Linked DNA regions of Sus scrofa. The protein of the gene in region 1 interacts with the protein of each later gene in a biochemical or structural test. Links are inferred from orthologs where the notes say so. Each region holds a gene or a part of one and is shown in the gene's direction. Other genes may lie near its edges.

Region 1 (6,707 bases):
GCCACAGTGGGAACTCCTCCCCTGTGGTTTCTTCTGCTTTTTCAGTAGATGCGGTTGTTCAGGCCAGATTTCGGGGCTGGGCAGCTGCAGCCCAGTGGACAGGCCCTCCCCTCTACCTCATTTGTGCCTGCAGGTATCTGGAGATCTGTTCAGCAGATGGCCAAGACACGCTATTCCTGAGGGCCAAGGACGAGGCTAGCGCAAAGTCATGGGCAGCTGCCATCCAAGCCCAGGTCAACGCTCTGGTGCCCCGGGTCAAAGACGAGCTGCAGGCGCTGATGTCAGCCACCGGCACAGCCGGGAGCCAGGACATCAAGCAGATAGGCTGGCTGACTGAGCAGGTGCCAGCTGGCCTGAACTTATCCTTTCCTCCCTTCTCCTGGAGCTGACCCCAATCCCTTTGCCCCTCCCTGTCTCACCCCACCCTGTTCCTCTGATGTCTCCCCTCCCTATCCCTCCTCACTGCTGCCTTGCCCCCTGCAGCTGCCCAGTGGGGGTACAGCACCCACCTTGGCCCTGCTGACTGAAAAGGAGCTGCTCCTCTACAACTGTCTCCCCCAGACCCGTGAGGCCCTGAGCCGGCCGGCCCGCACCGCCCCGCTCATCACCACCAGGTATCCTCGGACAGGCAAGAGTGTGTGTCCCACCCAGAGCTTGGGGGTGAGGCTCTAGATGGACGTCAGAAGCTGGGGACTCCAGCCCCATTCTGCCCTGAGTCTCTGCCCTGTCTGGGCCCTGGTTTCCTCATCTGTGAAATGGGAACTCTGAACAGAAGGATGTGAGTTCCTGCCAGTCACGCATTTGTTGTCACCTACTCCGCCCAATTTTGTGCTGCATAGCTGACCCCCATGGTCTCTGCCTCAGGGGGTACCCAGCCTGAGAGGCAGACTGACCCAGGAACAGCTTTGACCAGAGTTGTAGGGACCACTTGACTCTACCTGGCCTGGTGGGGTAGGCTTCAGGCAGAAGGTGACATTGGAGCTGGACTTTGGTGGATGAGTAGATGTTTGCTATTTAAGAAAGGGTGAAAAAGCACCTCACATAGAGGGGACAGCATAGTCCAAGGTGCAGAGGCACAAAGGGCCAGTGCATGCTCCTGGAGCTACACATGTCCTATAACCAGTGTGTGAAATCTGTGTAGGAAATGGAAAGAAGGGTGGCGGGGCCTGATCTTGCAGAGCTTCTGTTGCCTGGTTAAGGAATGTTAGCCTTATCTTAAAAGCTGGGGCAGACTTGAGGAGTTTTAGCCTCGGAGTGAGGTGGCTCAGGTTGTGTTTTAAAAGAATCCCTGTGGCTGCCACGTGGAAGATGCCCTGGAGGAGGGGATGGAAGCGGGAGGCTGCTGCACTTACACTGGAGAGAGGGTGGAGGTGGGTGGAGGCAACAGATGGAGAAGAAAGGCCGCATTTGCATTGGAAAACACAGGGCTGGTAAAATTAACTGGGCTTAGGACTTGCCAGATGGGAAGGGTGCGGGAGGTGTCCGGATAAATGGAGAAACGTGAGGTTGGGAGCTTGTGCTGAGTGGGCTGTGGGGCTGTGGGTGGTGTACAAAGGGAGGGGGTTGGCACAAGAAGCTGAGTTAGTCCAAAGTGTGTGGGGGACAGGTAGGGAGCTTGGTTAGGAAACTTGGGGACTTGTGGGTCTATAGCTTAGGGCTGGAAAGTGGGGGACTGAGTATCAGAAGTGGCTCTAAAGGGGAACTGAAGCTATGAGAGAAAGTATGTGAAGTGAGGGGCAAAGAGGGTTAAGGGCCAGAACTCTGAGGTCTGCTGCCCAGAGAGGGGCAGTGAGCTGCCCAAGTTGCACAGCAAGTAGGAGTCAGCCAGCAGAGTCCGGGCCCTTGTTGTTCATGTCTTCTCACCCCGGGCTGGGCTCTGGTGCATGTGTCAGGAACCCGCCGCCTATCCCCACTAGGGATAAGCAGTCATGGATGGTCTGTCTACCTAATCAAGTGACTCGTTAATTCAGGCCACACATGTTTACTGAGCACCTAGTATATGCCTGGTGTTGTTTTAGTTGCTGGGAATATAGTGGTAAAAATTAGACAACATTCTGTACCCTAGATAGTATTCTAGAGAAAAAGACTATCAAAAGTCACCTGAAACAGGAGTTCCTGTTGTGGCTCAGTGGGGTAAGAACCCGATATAGTGTCTGTGAGGATGCAGGTTGGATCCCTGGCCTCACAGCATTGTTGCAAGCTGTGGCACAGGTCTCAGATGTGGCTTGGATCTGGCATTGCTGTGGCTGTGGCATAGGCCAGAGCCTGCAGCTTCGATTTGACCCCTGGCCTGGGAACTAACATATGCCATGGGTGTGGCCCTGAAAATAAAAGTCAGCTGAAACAATAAAAATAATTATAATTTCTGATACTATCAAGAAAGATAAGGTTAGTGAATGACAGGAAGGGGTGCTGTTTGAATCAGAGGGGTCAGGGAAGGCTTCTCAGAGGAGATGGCATTTGAGCAAAGGACCGAAGGAAGTGAGGGAGTAAGCAATGCAGGTAATCAGGGAATCGTGTGCCAGGCAGAGGTCACAGCGTGTGCAAAGGCACTGGGGTGGAAGTGTGCTTGAAGACACCAGTACAGCTGGAGCCCAGGGAGTGAGGGAGAGGGTGGCAGGAGATATCTCATGTGACGCAATCAGTGGCCGTCTGAAAGTCCTGGTCCCCCATTAGGTGGGGAAGGAGTCGCAGGGTCTCTTCCCAGGTCACCACCCCCTTGGCTCAGAACTGCTTCCCCACTGCCCGAGGCCTCATGCCTGGCCCTCTGCCCCCTGCCCCCAGGCTGGTGCACTCAGGCCCCGCCAAGGGCTCGGTGCCCTACGATGCAGAGCTCTCTTTTGCCCTGCGCACGGGCACGCGCCACGGTGTGGACACTCACCTGTTCAGCGTGGAGTCACCGCAGGAGCTGGCTGCCTGGACCCGCCAGCTGGTGGATGGCTGTCACCGGGCCGCTGAGGGTGTGCAGGAGGTGTCTACAGGTGGGCTGGGTGGATCTGGGAGTGCCTTTTTGGCAGTGAGCCTCTTATCCCCAGGGGCATTCAGCTGCCTTCTTTAGGGTGCTTCAGGAGGGGGATAGAGAGTGGGATTTGGGGTCTCTGAGGGCCCTCTGTTTTGGATGTACAGGTGCCCTGCTAGGTAGTGAGCCTCTTTTCTCATGGGGGTTTTCTTGTCCTGGCTTTGTGACTCCGATGGTGAGGATATGAGAGATGGCAGTTGGAGTAGGCTTGCCAGAAAAAATACAGGACACCCCCTTAGATTTGAATTTCAGGTAAATAACAAATAATTGTTTAGTATAAATATGTCCACATTCTCCATTGCTTGTGTCAGATTCACATTTAACTGGGCGAGTCTACAGGCGTCTAAGGTCTCTGAAGGCCATGCTTGGTGCATCTGCCGATGCCTTTATCGGGAGCGGTCCTCCTGTCCCTGGCAGAGTTGACGCTCCCTCTTCCACCTTTGGTCCTGTTGGAAGTGGGACTGAACATGGGCTACAGATTTTCTGCCCGCACATCCTTCTGTATTTTAGAGTGAGAGTGATGCTCTACAGGGTGGGTGTACAAATGGCACGACAGACAGTGAGCCTCCCACCTGCCGGCGGCATGCAAGCCCCACTTTTGTGGTCTCTGAGATGCCGTTCTGCGCATGCCCACATGCCCTCCCTGTGTCCTCGCCCTCCCCGCAGCCTGCACGTGGAACGGCCGGCCCTGCAGCCTCTCGGTGCATATTGACAAAGGCTTCACACTGTGGGCGGCTGAGCCAGGTGCGGCCCGAGCTGTACTGCTCCGACAGCCCTTTGAGAAGCTGCAGATGTCTTCTGACGATGGTGCCAGTCTCCTTTTCCTGGACTTCGGGGGCCCTGAAGGAGAAATTGTGAGTGGAGGGGGATGGGGGCTCTGTTCTCCTGGAGGCTGGGCTGGCTGGGGCTCCTGACCCTTCTCTCCATCCACCCTGCAGCAGCTGGACCTGCATTCGTGCCCCAAAACGATGGTCTTCATCATCCACTCCTTCCTCTCAGCCAAAGTCACCCGCCTGGGGCTCCTGGCCTAGAGGTTGTCAGACGCATTAGCCCTGAAGATGGGGTGTTCACCACGGGGCCTGACATGGCCCTCGGATTGCCTGCTTACCACTGGGCCGAGGGAAGGGAGAGGAAAGGAGCAAGGATGCAGAGACCCAGCCCCCAAGGGAGGCTGGGGATAGTCTTGGGGACTGGGACCCAGACTCAGGACACAGTGGATCCTGCCCATGGTGGGGTAGCCTCTCTGCTACCCCCCCCACCCCCCACCAGTGCCTTTTGTGGAGAGGTATTTTTTTGTACACAGAAGCCATTCCGAGCCTGGGACCTGCCCCTGTGGGGATCCTGACCCCAGCCAACAACTGCCTGGCCTTCTTGGGGCCCCTAAACTGTCCCCCGAGACCCCCCCACCAAAGCTGGAGTTCCCCCGGGTCTATGGCAAGAGGAAGAGGAACCTTTCCGTTCATCTCTCCCCTCAGCCCCACCACCGTGGGGCGTCTGGTTTTTCTCTTCATCTTCTCTTTCCCCCTTACTCTTGGGTAAATAAACAGCCTGTGAGCACACAGGGAGCCTGGCCCAGTGTCTGTGGTTTGTGTCTTGGCCTGTGGATCATGTGGTGGCCCCTGTAGTCCCAAGATGGACCAGACCCAGGATTGGAGCCTCTTTCCCTAAGTAGAGCAGACCTTTAACCACAGGGCCAAAGAATCTATTGATTATCTACAATGGCCTGACAAATTACCCCTAAATTTAGCAGTTTAAAACAATGAACATGTATTATCTTGCAAGTTCTGTGGATTAGGAATTTGAGAAGGGGCTAAGGTGGGTTGATCTTGTCTCAGGGTCTTTCATGAGGCTATGGTTAAGGTGTCAGCTGGGGCTGTCCTCATCTAAAGGCTTGCCTGGGGCTAGGGGATCTCTTTCTAATATTCCTGACCCTTGGCTGTTGGCAGGAAGCACTAGTTCCTCACCCCATGGGCCTGACCATAGGGCTGCTCCAGTGTGCTTATAACAAGGCATCTGGCTTCCCCCAGAGCGAATGACACAGAAGAGAGAACCAAGAGGAATGCACAGCGCCTTTTATCACCTAGTCTTTGATGTCACATGCTGTCACTTTTACTTTATTCTGTTCATGAGAAGTGAGTCACTAATCCCAGCTCATGCTCCAGGGGAGGGGAATTGGTCTCCACCTCTTGAAGAAAAGAATGTCAAAGAATTTATGAACCTATTTAAAAACCATCATAAAGGAGTTCCCGCTGTGGGCACAGGGGATTAATGATCCTGCTTGTCTCTGTGGAGGCGCCAGTTGGGTCTCCAGCCTGGCACAATGGGTTAAGGAGCTGGCATTGTTGAAGCTGTGGCATAGGTTGCAGCTTGGCTTGGATTCGATTTCTGGCCTTGGAACTTCCACATGCTGTGGATGTGGCTGAAAAAGAAAAATTAAATAAAAACCATCCTAGAGAGTCTCTGACCCCTTTCCTGAGGAAGGAGGGATGTTTAGTGTGTGTTTTGTGGAACGTTTTTTTGAGGGAAGCTATACCAGTCTGGCTGCATGTAAGTCCTACTTGCTTGCATTGTCTGGAAAATCACAGTGACAACAGTAACGACAGTTCACATTTAGAGAGTGCCTGCTATTGGCTAGGCACTGTGTATATATTTCCTCATTGGATCCTCACCACACACTTGCATGGTAGGCACAGCAATCTCCATTTCACAGGTAAGGAAATTGGGGCTCAGAGGGGGAGAATGACTTGCCCAAAGTCACACAGCTATGAAATGTCTGAGGTTGACTTCAGACTAGTCTGTCTAGGAGTTCTCTTGTGGCCCAGTGGGTTAAGGTGTTGTCACTGCAGTGGCTTGGTTCGATCTCTGGTCTGGGAACTTCCATGTGCCATGGGCATGGCAAAAAAAAAAAAAAAAAAAAAAAGCAACGGGTTTTTTTCTGACTTCAGAGCTCCTTTTCATCTTAGAGACCTTCTGCTCCTGTACTATCCACTAGAAATATAGTGCAAGCCACATGTGTAATTACCAATTTTCTAGTAGCCACATTTTTGAAAGTAAAAAAAAAAAAGATGAAAATAATTTAAATAATATACTTTATTTAACCTAATAGATCTAAAACATTATCACTTTAACACATAATATAAACATCTATTAATGAAATGTTTTATACTTTTTCTCATATTAAGTCTTCAAAATCTGGTGTATATTTTATATTTATAGCACGTCTCTATTCAGATTATGGATTTTCATTGGAAATCTTTGATTGGAATTTAGATTTAGTAAAATTTACAGTTGAAAATGAAAGTTTGGGGAGTTCCCATTGTGGCTCAGTGGAAATGAATCTGACTAGCATCCATGAGGATGCAGTTTCAATCCCTGGCCTCACTCAGTGGGTTAAGGATCTGGTGTTGTCACGAGCTGTGGTATGGGTCGAAGACGTGGCTTGGATCCTGCATTGCTGTGGCTGTGGCATAGGCCAGTGGCTACAGCTCTGATTCGACCCTTAGCCTGGGAACCTCCATATGCCGCAGGCGTGCCCCCCAAAAAAAAACAAAAAAAAAGAAAGTTTGGGGTTAGTAGATGCAAACTATTACATTTAGAATGTATAAGCAACGAAGTCCTGCTGTGTAGCACAGGGAACTATATCCAATCACTTGTGATAGAACATGATAATATGAGAAAATATGAGAAA
Region 2 (8,266 bases), on another chromosome or scaffold:
ATATGGAGGTTCCCAGGCTAGGGGTCCAATTGGAGCTACCGCTGCCAGCCTACACCACAGCCACAGCAACGCCAGATCCTTAACCCACTGAGCGAGGCCAGGGATCAAACCCACAACCTCCTGGTTCCTGGTCAGATTTGTTTCTGCTACGCTACAACAGATATTCCCCTGGTTGGATTCTTAACCCCTGGAGCCACAATAGGAACTCTGAAAACAGCCAATATTTGAAATCATGATGGATTTACTCAGCGTATTCCTTCCTTCAGCCAAACTGAGGCAAGTAAGGCATGGCCTCTGCCTTGTGGAGATAAGTGTTTGGGGACAAACAGACACATAAACAAGGAACTCATCCCATTCAGTAGGTGCTGTCATGGATGTTAGGCACTCCTCCGCCTGGCTCCAGAGTCACAGCTACCTGTGGGAGTCCCAGTATGCTAGTTTCTGTCATTTGAGGGTGACTTACTTTTTCAGTCTCCTCGAGGACACTGCAGATGAAAAAACAACATCGTCTGCCCAAATCTACAGTTACTGGCAGAAAAAGGACCACAAATACAAACTTAATGGTGTCCAAACGTGACCCTTGACAGCATTCATCGTTTCAAACCTTTTTCTTTTAAGCAGTGGTGTGGTGCATTTGCAAGGGGTGGGGGGTCAAAGAGATGTCTTCAGCCTTCCTAGTGGGACAAGGCAACCCCCAGTGACACGCTTTGGGGTGTTCGATTGACATAAACAAACTGGCTGCTGCTCAGAAGAGTCTCAGCTAAGCCTGACGCAGAAATCTCTCCAACGGGAGACCCTGGAGGCAGGCACAGGGAGGGGCGCCCGTTCCTACAGGAACGCAGTTTGGAGCTTTTTATGTCTCTCTCTTTTTTATAGAGCCTCTAAATGCTAGCTGATGAGTATCTCCAAAGGGTAATTTAGAAATTACAGTTTTACGAAGGGCCAAAACAATGCCGGCCAAGTATGCAGGGCTGAACCCGGGGAATATTTAGAACATCCAGAGGAATGGATAGACTCCATGTCCCAAGGCAAGGCTCCAAAAATACCCTTTCTCACAAGTGGCTTTTTTTTTTTTTTTGTGATGTTTAGACAAGGGAAAAATCACATGGTGACCATCTAGGTAAGGAATCTAGAAGGCGAAGTTGCCGATTAGATGCCAATGCAGGGCACGAGACGGTCCTTGTCTTACCATATAGGAACCTGCCCAACACTGGGTCTACACAGTGACCCCCACACCATGCATGTCCCCCTTGCTCCTTGGCGCCACAGCGGTCTCGATGGAGGATGTCTCACTCCATGTCTCACCTTCACATTCTCCTGCAAAGGTGCCCGTGCTGGGCTGGAAGAGTCTTCCTGGGAAGGTCCCGGGGAGCTCAGGGCTGGGGACCTAGCCTCCCGCAGCTGGGTCTCATCATCGGGGTCTCCCCGGGGGGCCACTTCCGCAGCCTCTTTGTGGGTTTGCCTCCCCTGGTGGCACCCCCTGCTCTGGGCTCCTCTCCCACCAGGCTGGCCCGGCTAGTTGGAGGAAAGCCAAGGGCAGCAGGGAGACAGTGCGTTTCTCAGTAAGACTGGATGTTTAAGAAATATGCCCTGAAAGCAAAGCTCCTCACTCGGGAGACACTCAACCGGGGCCAGGGTAGGCTAGGAGAAGCCGGGCGAAGAGTCCCTGAGGCTGATGGGATTCAGATCCGAGTGCCGTTCTCAGGGTTTTATCTTGTACTTTTATCTGGCCAGTGGGATCTGAAGTCCCTTTTGCAGGACTGGAGGGCAGAGGGCGGGGCCAGCCCTGCTCTGAGACACTGTCAATCAAACGGATGGGAGAAAGCATCACTCATCACTCTAGCCCAGCTCACAAGTCCAAATTTCTAGCATACCTGAGCTTGTTCTGCTGCCAAATGGTGGCCCGAGACAACTCGTGCTGAACTGGTTGCCCACCACCTTGAGGGGCTGCAGGCTTCATCCCTGACTCAGGGGATGCCCCACCCATCGCCCTTCTCTCAGTCCGAGCAGCCCACCCCCTCACTGCGCCCACTCTCACATCTTTCTTGCGTTAAGGGGAATGCTGGGCTTTTGTCTCCCCATAACCAGGGGCTTAACATCTAAGGTCAAGTAGAGATCCTTCCCTCCAGGGACAAGGACATTCTAGGATGTGACTGGAAGTCACTGGGCATCCCCAGGGTCAGCACTGAGCATTGAGAGGCTTTGTTTACTTATTTGTTTTCTTTTTAGGGCCACACCCATAGCATATAGAAGCTCCCAGGCTAGGGGTTTGAATGGGAGCTGCAGCTACTGGCTTACACCCCAGCCACAGCAATACTGGATCTGAACCACGTCTACAGCCTATACCACAGCTCACGGCAATGCCAGATCCTTAACCCACTGAGCGAGGCCAGGGATCGAACCTGCATCCTCATGGATACTGGTCAAATTGGTTTCGGCTGCTCCACAACGGGAATTCCACATCACAGGAGGTGAACTCTAGTTCCCTGTGCTCTACAGTAGGACCTTGTAATTTGTCCATCCTGTATGTATTAGTTTGCCTCTGCTAGTCTCAAACTCCCAGTCCTTCCCTCCTCCCCTCCCCCTTGGCAGCCAGAAGTCTGTTCTCTGTGAGCCTGTTTCTGGTTTGTTGATAAGTTCATTTGTGTCATATTTTAGATTCCAATGTAAGTGATATCATATGGTATTTGTCTTTCTCTGACTGAGTTCACTTAGCATGAGAATCTCTAGGTCCATCCATATAGATGCAAATGGCATTCTTTCGTTCTTTTTAACGGCTGAGTAGTATTCCATTATGTATTTGTACTACGTCTTCTTTATCCAGTTCTCTACTGATGGACATTTAGGGTGTTTCCATGTCTTGGCTATTGTGACTAGTGCTGCAATGAACATAGAGGTGCATGTATCTTTTTGAATTAGAGTTTTGTCCACATATATGCCTAGGAGTGGGATTGCTGGATCATATGGCAACTCTTAAGGGTAAACTCTTGATGGGAGAAAGGAATTGTACCCTGTGTGGGTCTACTTGTGGGTTCCACCACCCAACGGGTCCACCGCTCATGGCTTCCCCCACTTATGGTCCCCTCCTTGGCCTCCTTGGCTGCTGAGCTTCCTCCTTCCTCAATTCTGCAAAGCTCTCCCGCAGCCCATCTCCACCAAGTTCCCCTGTTGTTTGATGGGAGAAAGAAGGTTGCTGCTTCCCTCGGGAACTCGTGGAGGTGAGAGCTAGAACGTCCCTCCACCCTGGACATTTGGGAACGTCGTCCCTTCATTCTTCCAGGCTCGGCTGGCTCTGGTTCCCCATCTTTCTACACCTCCCTCCCCTACACCCCCCCGACCTCGCGAGAGGAGGATGATTACTCACAAAGACCAGCCAGGCACGGAAATAGCCAACCTATTTGTGGCTTAAATGCAAGCAGTTTTATTTTTACAGAGAGTTGCTGTATTTTCTCTAAGTATAAATCATTAGCTACCGCAAGTGAAACTCCGGCTCCATCTGCGAGAGTTCCTGCTTTTGTTAGTGGTGCCAATTAGTCACAAAACAATCAGTGCCTTCTGCTGCCCACTCCCTCCGGGGGAAGAGAGTGCCATCTCTGCCAGGCTCCCCACCCCGCCCCACCCCAGCGGCCACCCCCACCCCGTAACTGCTTCCCCTACCTGGACCCCATCTGGCCACTCCAGGTACCCCTTCCTGCTGCCTGCTCCTCGTGCACCTTGTGATGGTTGCCAGTTTCCAGAGGGGTGCCTTGTGGCCCTCTGCAGGATGCACAGGCGCCCCTGTGCTGTTAGGAGCCGGGAGAGGCAACTCCGAGAGGCCCCGTGTTCTGTTGACTTAAATCATGACGTCGGAGCCTTCCTTTCTGTTGGCCCCACTGCTCAGGGTTTCACAGCCCCCGCGGGGACCGGGGGAAGTGCTCACAGGATCTGGGCCGTCCCTGGGCTCCTGGGAAGCAGCCGACGTGGAGCCCGGGAGCAGAGTGCCCCGCTGTCCTTCCGTGCTCTTTCCCTTCTGGTCCCTTCCTTCTCACCCGTGACCTTGGCGCCTCCTGGGCCAGCCTGTCTTTCTCCCCTCATTGCGCTTGCTTCCCAGTGTCTGATCCTCCGAGGGCGCCTTCCCCTCTTCCTGGCCATTCGCCTTAGACGGTGGTCCCGCTTTTCCCGGCCGCTTCTGATTTTCCTCTGGGAAATGTCCAGTTCTTCAGGAGGCTGACCCTTCCTCCCTTGGAACATCCAGAACAGGTAATGAGAACACACACACTGGCCTCCCAGGACTGAGCTCCCCCAACGTTTTGACTCGATGCACCTGCCTAACCATAGATGCCGCAAGCTCCCCTGGGTTTCCCTGTGGCTTGAAGGTCTATAGGGGCCGAGCCCTGGCCACCCTCTCCTCTTCCCACAGGAGGACACAGCCACAGGTCAGGTTTCACACAAGAGCCGCCTGGGTCACTGTCCGTCTTGTGCGTATGAAAGCGGTCCGAGGAAGGCTGCGTGTGTGGGTCGCGGAGCCTGCTTTCCCTCAGCATCTGAAGCTGCCTTCTTGCCCTCTTCTGAGTTAATCAACCCCAGGAGTCCACTGTTACTTTGACCCCATAACCGTGAAGGAAGGCTTCTGAAATAGAAGCAATAAATGCTGCTGTGAATGGGGGTCGGCGGGGAGGGTCTCACCGCAGGGCTTGGCTACAGAGACCATCCAGAACCTCTGGCTTGGCCTTGGCACCTTCACACCGGGTCTGCTGAAAAAGCGAATGGGGTCAGGGTGGGGGGAAGCAGCTTGACTGCATGGGTGAGAATGCACATCTAGCAGGGACAGTCTTTGAACCAGGCTGAAGATCACGCTGGGCCCCGAGGCTCCTCCACGCCTCGACCCCAGCCCCTGGGCTCCCTCTCCCTCCACTGCCTCACTCATACACACCCACGTGGGTGTGAGACGCCCTGAAAATGCACTGCAGGAAGGGAACGGGTATTTAATTGTTTAACAACCTGGCCCTCGCTGTGCAGGTGCAGACACATATCTCATTCAACCACCGTGAGTTTCCGTGGCCACGATTAGCTCCATTTTACAGGTGACAAAACTGAGTCTTCCAGAGCTTGGCGGAAATCACTGGGCTAGCTCCAGGCTGAGTCAGGAATGGGAGCTGGGTCCCTCTCGTGCTGCTACACACACACTTTTGCCCTTCCACGCGGCCCCACTCTGGGCCGTCTTTCTCCTCAGCCCTGACTGGCCCTCGTGGTTCGAGGGGGTCAGGCACCTCGTGTGATCATTAGTTCCCACTCGGGATCGGCATGAAGATTTTCACTGGCGTGTGTCACCGAATGATGCCATTTGAAGCACAGCTTCTGCTGATAAGCGTGGGACCATCTGCTTGGCACATCTCAAATATTTTCAGCAGTGGGAGAGCAGCTCCGATTTCTCCCGAGAAGGGAGGCTGCAGTCATCCTCGGAGGAGATGCTGGGACCGGAGACCCTGCAGGCTGGCGGGGCAGTGGTGCCCTAGGATGCGTAGGGCCAGCCTCCCGCCCACCACCCCTGCCTCTCCCTGAGCGAATGGACCTCGTGAGCCTGCACCCCGGTTTTGCCTTGTTCAGCGGCCCTTGACAACCAGAGTAAGCGTCCCCTCTTCAAAAAGCTATTGCCAGGCACCTCTTTCTGTGCTGGTTGTTTGCCTCTTGTGTTAGATGTTCGGTGTGTGTCGGCAAAGACCACTATTTTCCTGCCTTCGTTTTGGAAAATCTGCCTCTTTGCTACACTAGCGGTCCCTCGGACGGCGTTTTACAACTTCGGGGTTGAAACTTTCTGTGTTAACTTTTTCTTTTGGATGCGTAATGAGGGGGCAAGGACCTTAGACGCAATCTATGGATGCGGTGGTAGGTTTGAAGGTACTTGAGGTTGTTTGATGGGTTGTTGTACCTGCCAGAGCCATTGGGGTTGGAAGGGCACCGTATGGGATTCCTCCAGGGAAATGCTTGATGGTGGGAGGCGAGCTGGACTGATTTTCCCCTGCCTCTCCTCAGCGGGCACCGGCTTTTGTGTTGGCTTTTGCTGCTTATAACGGCAGGTGTGTAGCCTGTGCGGTGGCACAGTTCTGCTGAAAGGGCTCCCCTGCTCTTTGATGTGAGTGTCTTGGCCATGTTTCCCAGGCGGGCTGGGAGGGGGAAGCTGGGGAGAGAACGTGCAGGAGCTGGTCTGATGGCTCCGTAGGCAGCACTGAAAGGCTGGTGGCAAGTCTGCTCCAGGTGCCGCAGCCTTGGCACCATGACATCTGGGGCCAGAAATTCTTGGTTGTAGGCAGCTCTTATGTGCAGTGTAGGGTGTTTACAGAATCCCTGGCCCCAGCCCACGAGACGCCGGTAGCCTCCTCCTCTCAGTGTGACAATCGAAATGTCAACTATCCCCTAGGAGACAGAGTCACCCCCCGCCCCCACGTCCTTATGAGAAGAGGGCTCTAAGTTGACCCTGCTGTGCACTTGGAAAGGGAGCAAGAAGTTTCTGCTTCTCCATGCAGGTGGCTTCCGTGTTGGAGGCTGGGAACTGGTGTTTAACCACAGGCCAGATGTTCCTCCTGGCACATTCCTCCCGGATCCCGTACCTGCCATGGAAAGTCCATCTCCCAAATGGGTTTCTGTTTGTCCAGGTTTCTGCACACACACAGAGGGAATGGTTTGCCCTTGTCTCTGGAGCTGCACACCTGGAAGGTCCAGCCTGGAGTCAGGCTTCTCCTTTTGGTTGCCTAGAAACAAGACAAGGTTTCAGATGGCCCACCTCGGACCTTGATTTTGTTGGCTTCTCTCTCTTTTCCTGTCATTTCCTTTCTTCCTCCCTCCTTCCCTCCCTCTGGCCCTCGCCCACCCCTCCCTCCCTTCTGCCCTCCTTTCCTTCCTTCTTTTCTTTTAAGAATGATGTCATAGACTGGAATCCAGGACCCCGGGAGGACAGTAAGCATCTGAATGGGAAGGTGAAAAGGGATGCTTGCCTCTGAGATCTTTAGAGAAAATTGCAGCAAGCATGTTAAGTAGAGCATTTAAACTCTGCCTTATGCGTCCTTCCAGCGGAGCCCCCACTCCCGATCGCTACCCTCTTTGCTCCTTCCTGCTTTCCCAGCAGCGTCCCTGTCCAGCTGTTCTGCCCAACTTACATGGAGCCGTAAATGTAGGTAGCAATTTCAAGAAGACGGGCCAACCCACATCCTGCAACATCTGTGGAAACCACCATGTCTGTTTTCCTTGCTTGTCCATTTCTGGTCCCAGTGTGGCATTTCCATGAGACTCGCATGGGCAAGGTGTTTTTTAGTCTCTAGCTTTCCTTACGCCCCAGGCTTCCAGAAACACAGTAAATGATGTGCCAACTGTGTGAAGGGCCTGCGGTTCAGAGGGGCTGAGCTGCATGGCTTAGGACTCACATCCAGTGGTCTGTTGAGGGAGAGTGTGGCTCCGAGACAGAGCGAACTAGGCGCAGGCAGAAGAGACCATGGCCCCAGCAATGTCACTTGAACAACGACAAACCTCTTATTCAGACGTCTCTTTTGTACTCAGATGCCTTACTGCTTACAATTCTTTCGCCGTTTGCGGGAGGGGGTGAGTGTGAAGCATGGCTTGCGTGAGGTGGTGGAGCCTGAGCTGGTGGAGGACGCCTCCCTGGGGTGAGGGAGGTGGTGGTGACCTGGCCGGGCAAGGGCGGCATCTGCCTGGCAGGGGAGGGGACCTGGGGTCAAGTTCAGAGCTTCTGCTGGGTGAGGAGTACGTCCCAGGGCAGGACATAGTGGCAGTGGTGGCCTGACTTGAGGTGCAAGAGCCCAGCGAGGGGGGGAGGGCATCTGCGCAGGGCTGGGGGAGCGGCAGGTGGACGCAGGAGAGGAGGGATCGAATACGTGAACCCACTGAGGAGGACGGAGCCAGGAGCCAGGATCCAGGTTTCTCACCATCAGAGACAGGAATGACAAACACGGAGAGGAAGAAAACTCAGCGGAACTGTGTTGGATCAGATATTGGGGTGAAATCATTGGCATTCAATGCGTGTGTGCGTTTGTGTGGGGAAAGACGTAGAAATATAGATGCCAGGGTGTGTATGTACGACTGCACATGTGTCTTCACATGCACGTGCCCCTTAGCTCTGTGCCCTGGGAGGGCCTGAGAGCAGTGACACCGTAAGAGCAGTGGGTCCACCCAGCGTCCAGATCTTGGCTTCTACGTTCCCTTCTCTACTGAAAGGAGCCAGGGCTTCTTGGAGAAATGGGTGACTCTAGGCGCTGGTGAAGGGAACCTACAAGAT

Evidence for each region. The genes of interacting proteins can lie anywhere in the genome.
Region 2: the proteins of SNTA1 (region 1) and MAS1 interact in a test that uses a peptide from one of them, tested with the Homo sapiens proteins (2 studies listed by BioGRID and IntAct). The link is inferred for Sus scrofa from reciprocal best matches to the Homo sapiens genes SNTA1 and MAS1.

Annotation. Positions count from the first base shown.
Region 1 is NC_010459.5:36,915,160-36,921,866, reverse strand, and holds the end of SNTA1 (alpha-1-syntrophin), read left to right. Parts: intron 1-133; coding exon 134-341; intron 342-483; coding exon 484-614; intron 615-2,784; coding exon 2,785-2,981; intron 2,982-3,685; coding exon 3,686-3,873; intron 3,874-3,957; coding exon 3,958-4,050; 3' UTR 4,051-4,591; downstream 4,592-6,707. UniProt on the Homo sapiens protein: Adapter protein that binds to and probably organizes the subcellular localization of a variety of membrane proteins. May link various receptors to the actin cytoskeleton and the extracellular matrix via the dystrophin glycoprotein complex.
Region 2 is NC_010443.5:7,537,753-7,546,018, reverse strand, and holds the start of MAS1 (proto-oncogene Mas), read left to right. Parts: upstream 1-3,908; 5' UTR 3,909-4,239; intron 4,240-5,030; exon of another isoform or gene 5,031-5,604; intron 5,605-8,266. UniProt on the Homo sapiens protein: Receptor for angiotensin 1-7. Acts specifically as a functional antagonist of AGTR1 (angiotensin-2 type 1 receptor), although it up-regulates AGTR1 receptor levels.